Linked DNA regions of Saccharomyces cerevisiae S288C. Changing the gene in region 3 together with the main gene of any one other region gives a genetic interaction. Each region holds a gene or a part of one and is shown on either strand. Other genes may lie near its edges.

Region 1 (3,911 bases), on a different chromosome or scaffold from region 3:
CTGATTAAATGCCAGATTATTCTTGTTTGCTCATCGCCGTCCATTTCCACAATGGGGTTAGCTACCTTAATCTTTGTCATTACGATTTTATATATATACGTACGTTACCTTCTTACCTCCTATTCTCGTGCCTGAGCAGCGACTGTAGTCGACAAGTCAAGAGTGTAGTAACATACAATTGCAGGCTGTCATTTATATATCATGCCGGAGACTAGTTTGCCTATAGCCAATTCCAACCGAACCAATAATGTTAAGTCCGGTTTTTGATATTATACTCCACCCCCACTATTCCTAGCCCTGAAAGGTATCAAAGAGAACACTGATGATTTGACTACTGCATATTCTTCCCTTATTTCCTTATTTGCCGATTTTCGGACCACCGGCAATGACATCCCGGAGTTATAAAAATAAATAGATAGACGTTCACGTGACCAAAGTGTCACCCTCTCCGGCTAACCCGGTGAGAACCCACGGGCCCAATGCCGTCGTAAGTGACGCATCTATCGTCGCATTAAAGTGAATAACTGTAAAACCCTGGAATAGTATTTCGTTCAGGGTTCGTGTTAGTTCCAAGCTATTGACGACTTCCATGTCGTCATTTTCTAGATCAAATTGAAGCTTCATCTGCGTATTTCCTGTGTCCTCATCGTGCAGAATGTGCGATGAAGAGTTGATCCATTGCTTCATGGGTAAGTTTAAGAAATTGATGTCGTTATGGTACAGATCGATCTGTCCCCGAATGGTATCGATGCGAACTCGGTCTTGCTGGTGCGTCTCGTAGAAGGATAGATCAAAGAATCCTAAAAATGTCCCCACAAGACTGAGCTTTTTGCGCGCTGCCCACCGTAGCTGAAGATCGTTGATCTGAAACTCTTGAATCAATTCACTGGAGTTAAACGTAGCATTGGTAGTAATGGGAATAAACGATGCTTCTTGGAAAATATCCTCCAGCATGTCTGCTGGAATCAATGAGTTATTATCTATACCATCTTCAAGGACATGGCCTCTTGCTGCGAACGTAACAGTCTCGTTCTGGTTCAGGACCGCATTCACTATTTGGCTCATTGGTGTAAGACTATTTTGAGGACATTCTTGGTATAGTAGTTCATCGGGCAGAGGACCTTCAATTTCATTTTGTAAACAGACGACGATATTATCCTTGTCGTGGTGCAGATTAATCGGTTCGTTAAAGCAAGACAAGGTTGGAATTGCGATAGCAGGCTCACCGTTACAGTCCGGTAGCTTGATTTCCCAATTGATGAAAGGGATTGACGTGCCTGGCGGAAGGTGAAGCCAGTCCACCCCTCCAAGAATCGTGATCGGATTCAGTCTCATATCGGCATGAAATCCATCAGAACTGGAGTCCCGCAATGTAAATCCTTGAAGAGATATTCCATCGATCATATTTTGAATCATCCGAAGGGGCGTTGCCGATATTTTTTCCCAATCAATAATATCTTTCCAATCTAAGATTTCGTCATTAAGTTTCAATAAATTAAACCTCGTGCCAAATTTTCTCTTGAAGATAGTCATATCTAAATTCGATTTTATATTTAAGGATTCAAAATCCCTATTCCAAAATTTTTTCAAAACTTTTACGATTTTCCAAATAGACGGTTTAACTAAAATTTTGAACTGTAGGTTATTAATCTGTCGGTGAGCCAAATTAAAACAAATGGGTTCCATGCCAACAACATCTCCCAGTTTATTCTTGAACACTAGATCTCCATCGAATGTGGTCACGTTATTCAGATCTATACAAATGGTTTTAAGAACTTTTTCATTGATGTACCGTATCCAGTCACGTTGGCTTCTGGCGTCCGAGTCATTTTCCGTTCCTGGCCATTTGTCATAATCGAACCAAATTTGAGAGTGTATAGACACCTGCAAATACTTACCTGTATCATTGTTCAGGTCAGAGCCCATATTATCTTTCCAACCATCAAGCTGAAACTCCACCAGTTTGAAATTTGTTACTTGAACTAGATTCTTTTCTATCACATCTGTGGGCGGCACATGTCCCCTAATATACTGCACTATGCTGACGCCAAAGAAACTTAATAAAACAATACCTAGCAGATATATAATTAAGCACTTTATACTCCGCCAACGAGATTTAATAAGGGTCTCATTTGCAACGTTGATTCTCACTTCATCATTGAGGAGTTGGCTTTCTTCAGTGTTTGGTCTCAACAGTGGTTGAGTTTCTAGATCTTGGTTATCCGCTCGTAAGGGTGAGTTAGTGTGCATCTTAAAAGGTTCAAGGAGTAATGCACTACACTAAGCAATAAAAAATCCCAAAAACAGGAGGATCTTGTGTCTTCTTCCCCTAGACAGTTCATCTTTTTGATTCTGGGCTTCGCATTTACCTTTAGAGAAAATTAAATAACCCCATGCATGCGATTCTAAAAAAAAGTTAACTAAGCGATGGGATGAAATTTTTTTCTGGTGGTTGTTAGCAAAGTAAAAACGAACAGGATATAGAGTGAATAAAGGACAGTGAGAAAAATGCTTTATTTGATCGGACTTGGTCTCTCGTACAAATCAGACATTACCGTTCGTGGTTTGGAAGCTATTAAGAAATGTTCTAGAGTTTATCTAGAACACTATACCAGTATCCTAATGGCTGCAAGCCAAGAAGAGTTAGAATCTTACTATGGTAAAGAGATCATCTTGGCTGATAGGGAATTAGTTGAGACTGGTTCTAAGCAGATCCTAAATAACGCCGATAAGGAAGACGTTGCTTTCTTGGTCGTGGGCGATCCATTTGGTGCCACCACACACACAGATTTAGTTCTCAGAGCTAAACGTGAGGCAATTCCCGTCGAAATTATTCATAATGCGTCCGTTATGAATGCAGTTGGGGCATGTGGCCTACAACTATACAATTTCGGTCAAACCGTTTCCATGGTTTTCTTTACCGATAATTGGAGACCAGACTCATGGTACGACAAGATCTGGGAAAATAGAAAAATTGGCCTTCATACTTTAGTGTTATTGGACATCAAAGTTAAGGAACAAAGCATTGAAAATATGGCCCGTGGCAGACTAATCTACGAACCACCAAGATACATGTCTATCGCTCAATGTTGTGAACAATTATTAGAAATTGAAGAGAAAAGAGGTACAAAGGCATACACTCCTGATACTCCAGCAGTCGCAATTAGTAGATTAGGCTCGAGCTCCCAAAGCTTTAAGTCTGGTACCATAAGTGAGTTAGCCAATTACGATTCAGGAGAGCCACTTCATTCGCTTGTCATCCTCGGCAGACAATGTCATGAATTGGAGCTGGAATACCTGCTAGAGTTTGCCGACGACAAAGAAAAGTTTGGGAAAGATGTGGCAAATGACCAAGAGTACTTCAAACCTGCGGCATGGGTCCCACCCACAGAAGACGACAGCGACGAGTAAAGGTAATGCACACGCTCATGTGTAGTTTCTTTTTTATAATGTATATTGAATAGATCCTTTCAGTCGGGTAACAATTCGATCCCAAACGAATCGGGCCCTAACGATATGTGTAAAAATGGCAATGAATGAACAAGAAGTTATAACAACAATTTCAGCCAAGAACAAGAGCGATCCTGGAGGAGATTATATACGGATACACAGGTACACAAGATGACGCAATTAAAATATTTGTTGCTGGTTTCTAGGCAAGGAAAAATCAGATTAAAGAAATGGTACACGGCAATGTCCGCTGGTGAAAAGGCAAAAATTGTGAAAGACTTGACACCTACGATATTAGCAAGAAAACCCAAAATGTGTAACATCATCGAGTATAATGACCACAAAGTAGTATACAAGCGATATGCTAGTCTATATTTTATTGTTGGGATGACGCCCGATGTTGACAATGAACTGCTGACCTTGGAAATTATCCATCGGTTTGTCGAAACAATGGACACATA
Region 2 (3,100 bases), on a different chromosome or scaffold from region 3:
GGGAAACTTCTTGCATAGGTTTGATTTCGGGTGCTATTGGGCCGTTTTCCAACGCTCCATTGGATACTATAAAGACAAGGCTGCAAAAGGATAAGTCCATCTCATTGGAAAAACAGTCCGGTATGAAGAAAATCATAACCATTGGTGCTCAACTACTGAAAGAAGAAGGTTTTAGAGCTTTGTACAAGGGTATTACCCCAAGAGTGATGAGGGTGGCTCCAGGTCAGGCTGTCACCTTTACCGTTTATGAATATGTAAGGGAGCATTTAGAAAATTTGGGTATATTCAAGAAGAATGACACACCAAAGCCAAAGCCATTAAAGTAGATGATGAACAATGGGACTACAAAATGAAATAAAGAAAAAATAGAAATAGGCTAGAAGATCAATTATTAATCGCCCTATTCTTCCTTATTACCTACACAAAATAAAGCAGCAACATAAGAAACAAAAACAAAATGAAAACAAACCAAATAAATCTATGTAAGCATACTCATTTCAATTTGATATTCATTACTTGACTTTTTTGTCCTTATTTGAGGCTCCATAAGCGCGCCATTTTTCCCTACTCCCTTTTTTCGTAAATAGTAATAATGTGCTGAAAAGAACAATGAAGTAGTTATCATACATATTCCGTCGTGTCGATATGAGGGGAGGTGTCTCTTTCTTTCATCCCTTGTCGCAACCTCCAATATATAAGAGCATAAGCAACTGATCTTACTTTAGTAATTAACTTAGCATACCTAGCCCGAAGGAAGAAAAAAAATTCACCTCAACAACATGGTTCCTAAGTTTTACAAACTTTCAAACGGCTTCAAAATCCCAAGCATTGCTTTGGGAACCTACGATATTCCAAGATCGCAAACAGCCGAAATTGTGTATGAAGGTGTCAAGTGCGGCTACCGTCATTTCGATACTGCTGTTCTTTATGGTAATGAGAAGGAAGTTGGCGATGGTATCATTAAATGGTTGAACGAAGATCCAGGGAACCATAAACGTGAGGAAATCTTCTACACTACTAAATTATGGAATTCGCAAAACGGATATAAAAGAGCTAAAGCTGCCATTCGGCAATGTTTGAATGAAGTCTCGGGCTTGCAATACATCGATCTTCTTTTGATTCATTCGCCACTGGAAGGTTCTAAATTAAGGTTGGAAACTTGGCGCGCCATGCAAGAAGCGGTTGATGAAGGATTGGTTAAGTCTATAGGGGTTTCCAACTATGGGAAAAAGCACATTGATGAACTTTTGAACTGGCCAGAACTGAAGCACAAGCCAGTGGTCAACCAAATCGAGATATCACCTTGGATTATGAGACAAGAATTAGCAGATTACTGTAAATCTAAAGGTCTCGTCGTCGAAGCCTTTGCCCCATTGTGTCACGGCTACAAAATGACTAATCCAGATTTATTAAAAGTTTGCAAAGAGGTGGACCGTAATCCAGGTCAAGTTTTGATTCGTTGGTCTTTACAACACGGTTATTTACCACTACCGAAGACTAAAACTGTGAAGAGGTTAGAAGGTAACCTTGCAGCCTACAACTTTGAACTGTCAGACGAACAGATGAAATTTCTTGATCATCCTGATGCTTATGAGCCTACCGATTGGGAATGCACAGACGCGCCATAAAAAGAAAATGCGAACCGTAGAATAACGTATATAGAACATATAATTAGTTTACGTTTCACAAAGTATTAATATTACATGTAGCTTTTTCAGGACTTTCGATCTAAATCAAAGATTAAAGGAGCTGCTAGAGGTAGAAAAGGAAATCATTGACTTTTCTTGAAGATTTATGAGCGGGTAACTGGAGATGGAAATTTTCAGAAAAATTGTAAATGGATGCGATGACTTCGATGTGACGTTACTAGTCTTACCATTGTAAAAACCACTATCGGTGCCAAAAGATAAGCGCAATCAACTAAGAAATTTACCACGCTCTTTGTATTGTATTTATCTCCAATTTAATCTTTCTTTTGGTGTGAAAATTTAGCGAAAATGTCATTGGTGAATTCGTTAACACACTACGAAATTTTAAGAATTCCATCGGATGCAACACAAGATGAAATCAAAAAGGCATATAGGAATCGGTTACTAAATACGCACCCCGATAAACTTTCTAAAAGCATACATGATACGGTTAGCAACGTCACAATCAATAAGATTCAAGATGCTTATAAAATACTATCGAATATAAAAACTCGTCGCGAATATGATAGGTTGATCCTTGAAAACTATAAACGCCAAGGATTTCATAATTGTGGTGATGGGCTGGATGAATTTTCCTTAGACGATTTCTCATTTGATGAAGATAAGCTGGAGTTTATGATGAATTGTCCTCGCTGTCAATTTGTTGGTGGTTTTCATTTTAGTGAGAGTTTGTTAGATGAATGCATTGATAATGTAGACGCTATGGAACGGAGTCATTCTGGTTATCAATTATTAACCCAATGTAGCGCATGCAGCTTATGGCTGAAGGTTAATTTTGACATCGAGGAAGAGCAAGAAGGACAATAATGAAAATGGGAGGGGAAATTGAGCATATCAGATAAATCTGTTTATAGAATTATTATTTTACTTCGTGGGAAATCGAATGGTGTATATAAAAGAGGTTGTAAAATTGACGAAATAAATAGTATTTAGGCAACTAAAGATAAAAAAATATTATTTATTTTTATTCGCGGTGCGTTGCCAGATTTTTTTTGACATGCGGAATTTTGGTAAAAAGAAAAATGCAGATATGAATAGTAAACAAAGGAATAAAAAGCCTTTCATGAAGAAGTTCGTGTTCGAGATCTTCTTCCTTCTTTTTCGCTGTCGACGATAGATATGAATGCTTTTGCCATTGATTTCAAATCCGTCATTAAGCTAACATGACCTGAAGAACTGGCGATTTTACAAACAACTGGAAAGCCTCTCTGTTCAGGCAATAACCATTTATGGTGAACAACACCGTCGCCCGGACCATAGTAAAAATCTTCATAATTCCCATCTTTTATATCTTGTATACCGTTCACTTTAGCACCTCTAACAGTGGGAACCTTGTTACCGTAAACCATGGCCAATGGAGGATATTCTTTGTTCGGGTCGTAATCTAAGCT
Region 3 (5,366 bases):
TAATGTTTTATAAGTTTTGTTTTTCATTTCATACCCTTTAAGGAGCATTTGGCATTGTGTGCGCCCTGAAGGCTAAATAAGAATTTGAAGGACTCACCACAGAACAGTATAGCGAATACCAACCGCAGCAACTACTTAAAATTCCAAAATAGCCACCGGCCATTTTGAGATTGTTGTTGTCAATGAAGGTGCCGATACACAGTAGTAGGAAGGTAAGATCCAAAAACGTCAATAGTAAGAACAAACCCCACGTGCTCTTCAATGTACACATCAACATCAAGAAGGTGAAAACGGTCCAGCCCGCAAGGAAGAACCCAATGACATTGTTCAACATTGTGGGATCGGTATAGCCGCTGACCAAATTATCAGTATCTGTTAGCCCATAACCGTAGCAGATCCAGAACCCGCCGAAAGAACTGAACACAGTCATGGCGTATGTGTCCCCAATGACAAAACACAATAACCCGGCAAACAATTCAATGGCACCACCAAAAAACATAAACAAACTTAGCGCCCATTTACCATCAGTGACGCCGCGAACGTTCGCATTAATTAGCGACAGAACTAGACATGACAGAGAAAACGATGCGAGACCCAAAGGAACCGGATTAGCGAACTGGTGCGGAGTATACTTTGCACAGTTTCCTTCCTCCCCATCCCCTCTGTCTAGTGCATTGAGCAAATCTCTGCGCCTGTAGGTGGAGGATCCTAGAGTAATGAAGTCTCTGTCGGAGTATATCTCTTGAATATTAGGGAAGCCCTGCGAAACGCCTGCAATCGAACCCTGCTGGGGGAGCGTCTCAATATTTTCTAGAGTGTTCACACCCTTTTCCAAATCCTGTGGAGAAGAAGCAGACGATGTCATTTTAACCAGTATTTTTATTTTTTATTCTTACTAAATCTTTCTGGGAATGTATTCAGTTATATGTGACCCAACTGTTTATAAAACTGGGGGAATATTAGGCAATCAAGCGAAGCTCATCGATGAGTATTCAATTTGCTAAAAAGTTGTTTTATTTAAATATTCCTTCTGAGTCACGGTCATCGTGAATAGCGTTAAAATTCTCAAATCCATTGGTGTTTCCATTAGGCCCTGAGCGGTTCCCCAAGAAAAAAAAAAACAGTAGAAAAAAATGATGCTTCTTCCTAACGCTATTGTAGTGCAGGTTCTGCCGTGTGCCAAGTTGGAGCAGCGCCTGCTGAGACTCTTCCGTATGGTTCTTGCTCTTCTCAGGACCAGCGGCGGCAGTTCCGGTTTTTTTCGGCGTCTTTTGTCTGGCACACAATGGGCGATGGAGAGGGAAAACCGGAGGATATGCCAGCTGCGGTGAGATTATGGTTGGAGTTATGTTTGTAGCCGGCGGTGCGGCAATAGGAGAGGGGAGGGGAAGGGGAGGGGAAAAGGTAATGGCTGACGAAGTATAGAGATGGCAATCACAAGCCAAATATTGGAGATTACATGCAAGAATGCTACTGTTATACAAAAGGGTGAAAATTGAGACCCAAATTCCTTCCTTTTTTTTCTTTTTTTTTTACCAGAAGAATTACGTACAAAAGTACCTACTATTTCAAAGCAAGAAATGAGATGCCTATTGTGGTTATATACAGAATAGATGATAAATGGGTTTTCCGTGCAAAACGATATGGAGAATTCAAAATGGGTGCGAAATACCTGGAACGTAAGCGTTCTGAGAAATACACAGACGCATTAACCTGACAAAAACACAACTAGTTTGGGAAAGGGATTTGGTCTTTCCTCTCGGGTCTCTCGTGTGGTTCCTTTCTTTCTCAGATCTCCCTGCACACTGGGCTGTTGTCCTCCAGGTTATGGTTTGTTCTCTTCAGGTATTACAATGCAGTAGGCTTTTGGAGTGAGCAAAACGAAGAGAGAAAAAAATTTTTTCTTAAAAGTTTTTTTTCATTTTGTGAGCTTATTCTTCTTTTCTATATATTCTTGATATCTTAGATTATACATATTATTCTCTTACATTTCACGATTGCCCTTTTGGTGTTTAGCATTCAGACTCAAAGACCACAAACACAAACTATAACATAATTGCAAGATGGTTGCTTTCACTGTTGACCAAATGCGTTCTTTAATGGACAAAGTTACCAATGTGCGTAACATGTCCGTTATTGCTCACGTCGATCATGGTAAGTCCACTTTGACCGATTCCTTGGTCCAAAGAGCCGGTATTATTTCCGCTGCTAAGGCTGGTGAAGCTCGTTTCACCGATACCAGAAAGGATGAACAAGAAAGAGGTATCACTATCAAGTCTACCGCTATTTCTCTATACTCTGAAATGTCTGACGAAGATGTCAAGGAAATCAAGCAAAAGACCGACGGTAACTCCTTCTTGATCAACTTGATCGACTCTCCAGGTCACGTTGACTTCTCCTCTGAAGTTACTGCCGCTTTACGTGTCACTGACGGTGCTTTGGTTGTCGTCGACACCATTGAAGGTGTCTGTGTCCAAACCGAAACTGTTTTGAGACAAGCTTTGGGTGAGAGAATCAAGCCTGTTGTTGTTATCAACAAGGTCGACAGAGCTTTGTTGGAATTGCAAGTTTCTAAGGAAGATTTATACCAAACCTTTGCCAGAACTGTTGAATCCGTTAACGTCATCGTTTCCACCTACGCCGATGAAGTTTTGGGTGATGTCCAAGTTTACCCAGCCAGAGGTACCGTTGCCTTCGGTTCCGGTTTGCACGGTTGGGCTTTCACTATCCGTCAATTCGCCACCAGATATGCTAAGAAATTCGGTGTCGACAAGGCCAAGATGATGGACAGATTATGGGGTGACTCTTTCTTCAACCCAAAGACCAAGAAGTGGACCAACAAGGACACTGATGCTGAAGGTAAGCCATTGGAAAGAGCTTTCAACATGTTCATCTTGGACCCAATCTTCAGATTATTCACTGCTATCATGAACTTCAAGAAAGATGAAATTCCAGTTTTGCTAGAAAAGTTGGAAATTGTCTTGAAGGGTGACGAAAAGGACTTGGAAGGTAAGGCCTTGTTGAAGGTTGTTATGAGAAAGTTCTTGCCAGCTGCCGATGCCTTATTGGAAATGATTGTCTTGCACTTGCCATCTCCAGTCACTGCTCAAGCCTACAGAGCTGAACAATTATACGAAGGTCCAGCTGACGATGCCAACTGTATTGCTATCAAGAACTGTGATCCAAAGGCTGATTTGATGTTGTACGTCTCCAAGATGGTGCCAACCTCTGATAAGGGTAGATTCTACGCCTTCGGTAGAGTTTTTGCCGGTACTGTTAAGTCCGGTCAAAAGGTCAGAATCCAAGGTCCAAACTACGTTCCAGGTAAGAAGGACGATTTGTTCATCAAGGCCATTCAAAGAGTTGTTTTGATGATGGGTAGATTTGTCGAACCAATCGATGACTGTCCAGCCGGTAACATTATCGGTTTAGTCGGTATCGATCAATTCTTGTTGAAGACTGGTACTTTGACCACCAGTGAAACTGCTCACAACATGAAGGTCATGAAATTCTCTGTCTCTCCAGTTGTGCAAGTCGCTGTCGAAGTCAAGAACGCTAACGACTTACCAAAATTGGTCGAAGGTTTGAAGAGATTGTCCAAGTCTGATCCATGTGTCTTGACCTATATGTCTGAATCCGGTGAACATATCGTTGCTGGTACCGGTGAATTGCATTTGGAAATTTGTTTGCAAGATTTGGAACACGACCACGCTGGTGTTCCATTGAAGATCTCCCCACCAGTTGTCGCTTACAGAGAAACTGTTGAAAGTGAATCTTCTCAAACTGCTTTGTCCAAGTCTCCAAACAAGCATAACAGAATCTACTTGAAGGCTGAACCAATTGACGAAGAAGTCTCTTTGGCTATTGAAAACGGTATCATCAACCCAAGAGATGATTTCAAGGCCAGAGCTAGAATCATGGCTGACGACTACGGTTGGGATGTCACCGATGCCAGAAAGATCTGGTGTTTCGGTCCAGACGGTAACGGTCCAAACTTGGTTATTGACCAAACTAAGGCTGTCCAATACTTGCACGAAATCAAGGATTCCGTTGTTGCTGCTTTCCAATGGGCTACCAAGGAAGGTCCAATTTTCGGTGAAGAAATGAGATCTGTCAGAGTTAACATTTTGGATGTTACTTTACATGCCGATGCTATCCACAGAGGTGGTGGTCAAATCATCCCAACCATGAGAAGAGCTACTTACGCTGGTTTCTTGTTGGCTGATCCAAAGATCCAAGAACCAGTTTTCTTGGTCGAAATTCAATGTCCAGAACAAGCCGTCGGTGGTATCTACTCCGTCTTAAACAAGAAGAGAGGTCAAGTCGTTTCTGAAGAACAAAGACCAGGTACTCCATTGTTTACCGTCAAGGCCTACTTGCCAGTTAACGAATCTTTCGGTTTCACTGGTGAATTGAGACAAGCTACTGGTGGTCAAGCTTTCCCACAAATGGTTTTCGACCATTGGTCCACTTTAGGTTCTGACCCATTGGACCCAACCTCTAAGGCTGGTGAAATTGTTCTTGCTGCTCGTAAGAGACACGGTATGAAGGAAGAAGTTCCAGGCTGGCAAGAATATTACGACAAATTGTAAGAATGGTTAAACAATTTTTAATTATTTAACTTTTTCAGTTTTTGTCGTAATGTATTGGGCACCTTTTATGTCCTTTTGACTTTTTTGTAGTTTATTCTCACGTATACTTACCATCTATAGTGTTATTTCATATTTAATCATATTTCCATATTAGATATCTGCCTTCCCCTGTATAATAGTTACTATGATTTATCTTGCTTTGCCTATTCGCGTCATCAACTTCTTTTCTTACCGATCGCGGTAATGCCCTTTAAGAGTGGCATCAACATTGGCGTAAACAAAGTTTCAAAGGATTGATACGAACACACATTCCTAGCATGAAAGCATGGAACTCTCATCAAACTTAAAAGACCTATATATTGAATGGTTACAAGAATTAGTTGACGGATTAACCCCTAAACAAGAACAACTCAAAATAGCCTATGAAAAAGCAAAAAGGAATTTACAAAATGCTGAAGGTTCATTTTATTATCCTACAGATCTAAAGAAAGTTAAGGGAATTGGCAATACAATAATAAAGAGATTAGATACGAAATTACGGAACTATTGCAAAATTCACCACATATCTCCCGTTGAGGCTCCTTCCTTAACTCAGACAAGTAGCACCAGACCACCAAAGAGGACTACTACAGCTTTGCGTAGCATAGTAAACTCATGCGAAAATGATAAGAATGAAGCTCCCGAAGAGAAGGGAACTAAAAAGAGAAAAACTAGGAAGTATATACCCAAAAAAAGATCTGGAGGCTACGCTATCCTTCTTTCCTTACTCGAGCT
Region 4 (4,148 bases), on a different chromosome or scaffold from region 3:
GAACCACAAGCAGAAAAGCTTTTACAAACTGCAGAACATTCGGAAAAGAGTAAAGAGCATTACCCAACGATCATACCTCCCTTCACTAAAATAAAAAATCAACCGCCTGTCATTATTGAAAACCCACTTAGTAATAATTTAAGAGCGAAGTTTTTATCCGAAATTTCGCCCCCATTATTCCAATATAACACCTTTTATAACTACAACCAAGAATTGAAAATGAGTTCTCTATTGAAAAAAATCCATAGGGTATCCCGCAACGAAAACAAGAACCCAATTGTTGACTTCAAGAAGACGGGTGATTTATATTGTATACGCGGAGAATTAGGCGAAGGAGGTTATGCCACTGTATATCTAGCAGAATCTAGTCAAGGACATCTGCGAGCGTTGAAAGTAGAAAAACCTGCAAGTGTATGGGAATATTACATAATGAGCCAAGTGGAGTTTAGGTTGAGGAAGAGCACAATATTAAAGTCAATAATCAACGCTAGTGCTTTACACTTGTTCCTTGATGAGAGCTACCTTGTTTTAAACTACGCCAGTCAAGGTACGGTCTTGGATTTAATTAATTTACAACGGGAAAAGGCAATTGACGGCAACGGAATAATGGATGAATATTTGTGCATGTTTATCACTGTCGAGCTAATGAAAGTACTTGAAAAGATACATGAAGTGGGAATAATACATGGCGATTTGAAACCAGATAACTGCATGATCAGATTAGAAAAACCAGGCGAACCCCTGGGTGCTCATTATATGCGCAATGGAGAGGATGGCTGGGAAAACAAGGGAATCTATTTAATAGATTTCGGTAGATCATTTGATATGACACTGTTACCACCTGGAACGAAATTCAAATCAAATTGGAAGGCTGATCAGCAAGATTGCTGGGAAATGCGTGCGGGCAAGCCATGGAGTTATGAAGCGGATTATTATGGATTAGCAGGCGTCATACATTCGATGCTTTTTGGAAAATTCATAGAAACAATCCAGCTGCAGAATGGACGATGCAAATTGAAGAACCCATTCAAAAGGTATTGGAAAAAAGAAATATGGGGCGTTATATTTGATTTACTGTTAAATAGCGGTCAAGCTTCCAATCAAGCTTTGCCGATGACTGAAAAGATTGTTGAAATAAGGAATTTGATAGAAAGCCATCTGGAACAGCACGCAGAAAATCACTTAAGAAACGTAATTCTAAGCATTGAAGAGGAGTTATCACATTTTCAATATAAGGGGAAACCGTCAAGGAGATTTTAGTGAATAAATATGCCTTCATCTCCCGCATAGGTGACTTTTTGGTGTCCTGCCAGATTCCATAGCAATGACAACACAACTTCAGGTAGAGCCAATTGTAACATTAATATATAAAAGGTAATATAAAACTAGCAGGTTCTCAGGTTGAGTAAATATATTCTTTTTTAATCTTGACATCTGTCACTTATGGAAAAACAAGTACCAAAAAAATGGCGATAATGTTATGATATTATTTTACTGAAGCTCTTCATACATCGAGTATGTAGCAATTGCTCCACTTGTTACCGCGAAAACTAACAAGAATAAAAAATAGATGTCTTGATTCGCAATTCGCAGTATATTTCATCTAATAGCTGCAGAGCCAATTGGGATGTTACTGGTAGTGCTACCTTTCGATGTGTTCTGTTATCACCCCAGACGATAATTATTATTGTAGATTTTTCCCTATTCTTCCTCGAAGGGCTTTTTCAAATTTTTTTTTTTTTCATTTTTTCATATTGAGCTCTCTCATCTCATCCATCAATTTATGACGCACCTACTCTAATAACGACAAGTTTATTCTTCTTAAAACGGTATCAATTTAATTTAAAAATTAAAAATAGCTCAAAAAAATCAACAAAAAATTGAGTGATGACTTCACAATTGAATGAATTAGTGGAATTTCTGCATTCACCACAACCTGCCGTAAGACAGATTGCCATTGATAATCTAGTTGGATTTAGTGCTGGTCCCACTTCAAAAGTTTTCAAAAATGATAGCTACAGACCCATTAAGGATATAATAAAAATGATCATGGATCCAGAACACGGCACCCGTGTTATTATTCAGCAAGGTGTCACTATATTGGTCAATTTATCTGAAGACAAGTTAGTAAGAAATATTATATTGAGCGATGACAAGAAGTTCTTAAAATTTTTGGTTTGGAAAATTGTCGATTTAACCAATCCAAATGCCGATATAATGTGTATCTTATTAAGCAACTTAGCCAAGGATGACGGCATTCTTGCTGTTCTGAATATCAAAAGGAATTCAAGCGGTGAGGAGGTCGATGATGGTTTGAAGTTAGCAGCTTTAAATAAAGAAGTTTTCAAAAGTTTGAGAGCCATGGATTGTTTAATGGATTGCTTTGTTAAGGGTTATGATAAAAAATTAACAAAATATGCCAGTTTCAATTATTTAGCCTTTTTTTTTGCGGATATCTCGAGGTTTAAATTGGGCAGGATGTATTTTATTGAAGAGCAGGAATACGATGGGGTTGTTCCTATTTCAAAATTGCTAGTATTTACCGAAAAATATGATGCAAAGGTAAGAAGAGAAGGTGTCGCTTCCACAATTAAAAATTCCCTATTTGATTCTGAAACTCATGAAAGGTTACTCAAAGATGAAAAAATAAACTTGTTGCCTTACATCCTGCTACCTATTGCTAGTGCTAAAGATTCTGAAATTGATGAGGAAGATATGTTCAATTTACCAGATGAACTTCAATTATTACCAGAGGACAAGGAAAGAGACCCGATTCCTGCAATTATATGCTGTCATTTAGAAAGTATTCTTTTGCTATGTACAACGCATGCTGGAAGAGAATACTTAAGAGACAAGTCCGTTTATCCACTAGTGAGGGAGCTGCATAAAAACGTTGAGAATGAAGATATTGGTGAATTATGTTACAGAATTGTTAATATGTTAATGAGAGGCGAGCCAGGTGCGGGAGCAGTGGAAGAGATGCCATCAAAGAATGCGGAAGAGGAAGAAGAGGAGGAGAGTGAAGAAGAAGAAGATGACGACGAAGAAGATGAAATTGTCGAAGTGGCCTAGGTCACTTTCAAGGACAGTTCACATAGCATAGAATTGTATAATACAGAAATAACAATATATTAGAGTTTAGTAGAATTCTGAGTCTTTTCTCAAAAAAAAGGCAGAAAAAAAGACTAGATAAAAAAGTATACTTACTGCAACTAAAATGACAGTATAATGTAACTACATAAGATTAAATGGAAAGAAAAAGGAAAGAATGAAAAGAACGAAAACTAAATAACCTATTAAGTACATAACATTATAAACTAACCTACTCTTTCTTTAATTCCATGTGGTCATTGCCAACCTTTCGACACAATTTTTTTACAATGGCAAACATTAGCTTTTTATTCTCTGCGCCAGGATATTTTCTTCTGATGAACTTTCCAAACTCTTTGATATTGACTTTGCCATCACCAATAGCCTCGATGATATCTTTTTCTGTTATTGTAGGCGCTGGAGTTTCTTCCCTTTCTGCCACTGTAGAATTCAAGCCTTCCTCTTGTTTGATTGGCGAAGGCACTGTATTCGATGCATTATTACTACTATCTACAGCTTTTGTCGTCTGTGGATTCCATTCTCCCTCTGGGAAGCTTTTCAGTATTTTCTTATCCCCCTTCAAGATAATGACACAGTTTTTAATACTTTTCACCCTCAAAGTTGGCTCTTTATGCACATGCGCATTTGTAGCTTTCTTTTGCTGTTTCTTTGGAGAAGATCTCTTGGATTTGGATAGAGTGTCCGAATCTTCTTCCTTTTTAACGGGCGATTCATTCTCTTTGTTTTCAATATCGGATTCAGATAAGTATGGGTTGATCTCATTTTCATCCGATGAGTATAGTGCTGCAAGTTCTGTCTTTTGTAATGCCTTCTTAATTCTTTCACCATCCTCATCAATCTTCTTTTCCCCAAATAACTCATCTTCTTCGTTTTCGGAAGGAGCTTCTTCATCACGAAGCCCCATCGCATTAGCTTGCAGCATCTCCTTCTTGATTCTTTGTTCTGATTCTTTATTTTCTTGTTCATTACCATCTATAATAGGTGCCTCCTCATCATCGGCAAACTCTTCATCATAATCTAACTCTACTTCTGAATTG

The links.
Region 1: mutations in EFT2 (region 3) and DPH5 together harm fitness more than expected from each alone (negative genetic interaction), as found in Saccharomyces cerevisiae (4 studies listed by BioGRID, with this or other methods).
Region 2: mutations in EFT2 (region 3) and JJJ3 together harm fitness more than expected from each alone (negative genetic interaction), as found in Saccharomyces cerevisiae (3 studies listed by BioGRID, with this or other methods).
Region 4: mutations in EFT2 (region 3) and HGH1 together harm fitness more than expected from each alone (negative genetic interaction), as found in Saccharomyces cerevisiae (4 studies listed by BioGRID, with this or other methods).

The regions. Positions count from the first base shown.
Region 1 is NC_001144.5:500,760-504,670, reverse strand, and holds DPH5 (diphthine synthase), read left to right. Parts: upstream 1-2,508; coding exon 2,509-3,411; downstream 3,412-3,911. Other genes in the region: isocitrate dehydrogenase (NADP(+)) IDP2, read right to left, coding at 1-80; TAG1 (Tag1p), read right to left, coding at 424-2,250; APS1 (Aps1p), read left to right, coding at 3,622-3,911. UniProt on the Saccharomyces cerevisiae protein: S-adenosyl-L-methionine-dependent methyltransferase that catalyzes four methylations of the modified target histidine residue in translation elongation factor 2 (EF-2), to form an intermediate called diphthine methyl ester.
Region 2 is NC_001142.9:610,416-613,515, forward strand, and holds JJJ3 (Jjj3p), read left to right. Parts: upstream 1-1,997; coding exon 1,998-2,516; downstream 2,517-3,100. Other genes in the region: SFC1 (Sfc1p), read left to right, coding at 1-326; YJR096W (aldo-keto reductase superfamily protein), read left to right, coding at 780-1,628; YJR098C (uncharacterized protein), read right to left, coding at 2,771-3,100.
Region 3 is NC_001136.10:1,241,167-1,246,532, forward strand, and holds EFT2 (elongation factor 2), read left to right. Parts: upstream 1-2,063; coding exon 2,064-4,592; downstream 4,593-5,366. Other genes in the region: putative ammonium permease ATO3, read right to left, coding at 38-865; MUS81 (Mus81p), read left to right, coding at 4,918-5,366. UniProt on the Saccharomyces cerevisiae protein: Catalyzes the GTP-dependent ribosomal translocation step during translation elongation.
Region 4 is NC_001139.9:869,156-873,303, reverse strand, and holds HGH1 (Hgh1p), read left to right. Parts: upstream 1-1,887; coding exon 1,888-3,072; downstream 3,073-4,148. Other genes in the region: protein kinase BUB1, read left to right, coding at 1-1,260; transcription factor IIF subunit TFG1, read right to left, coding at 3,323-4,148.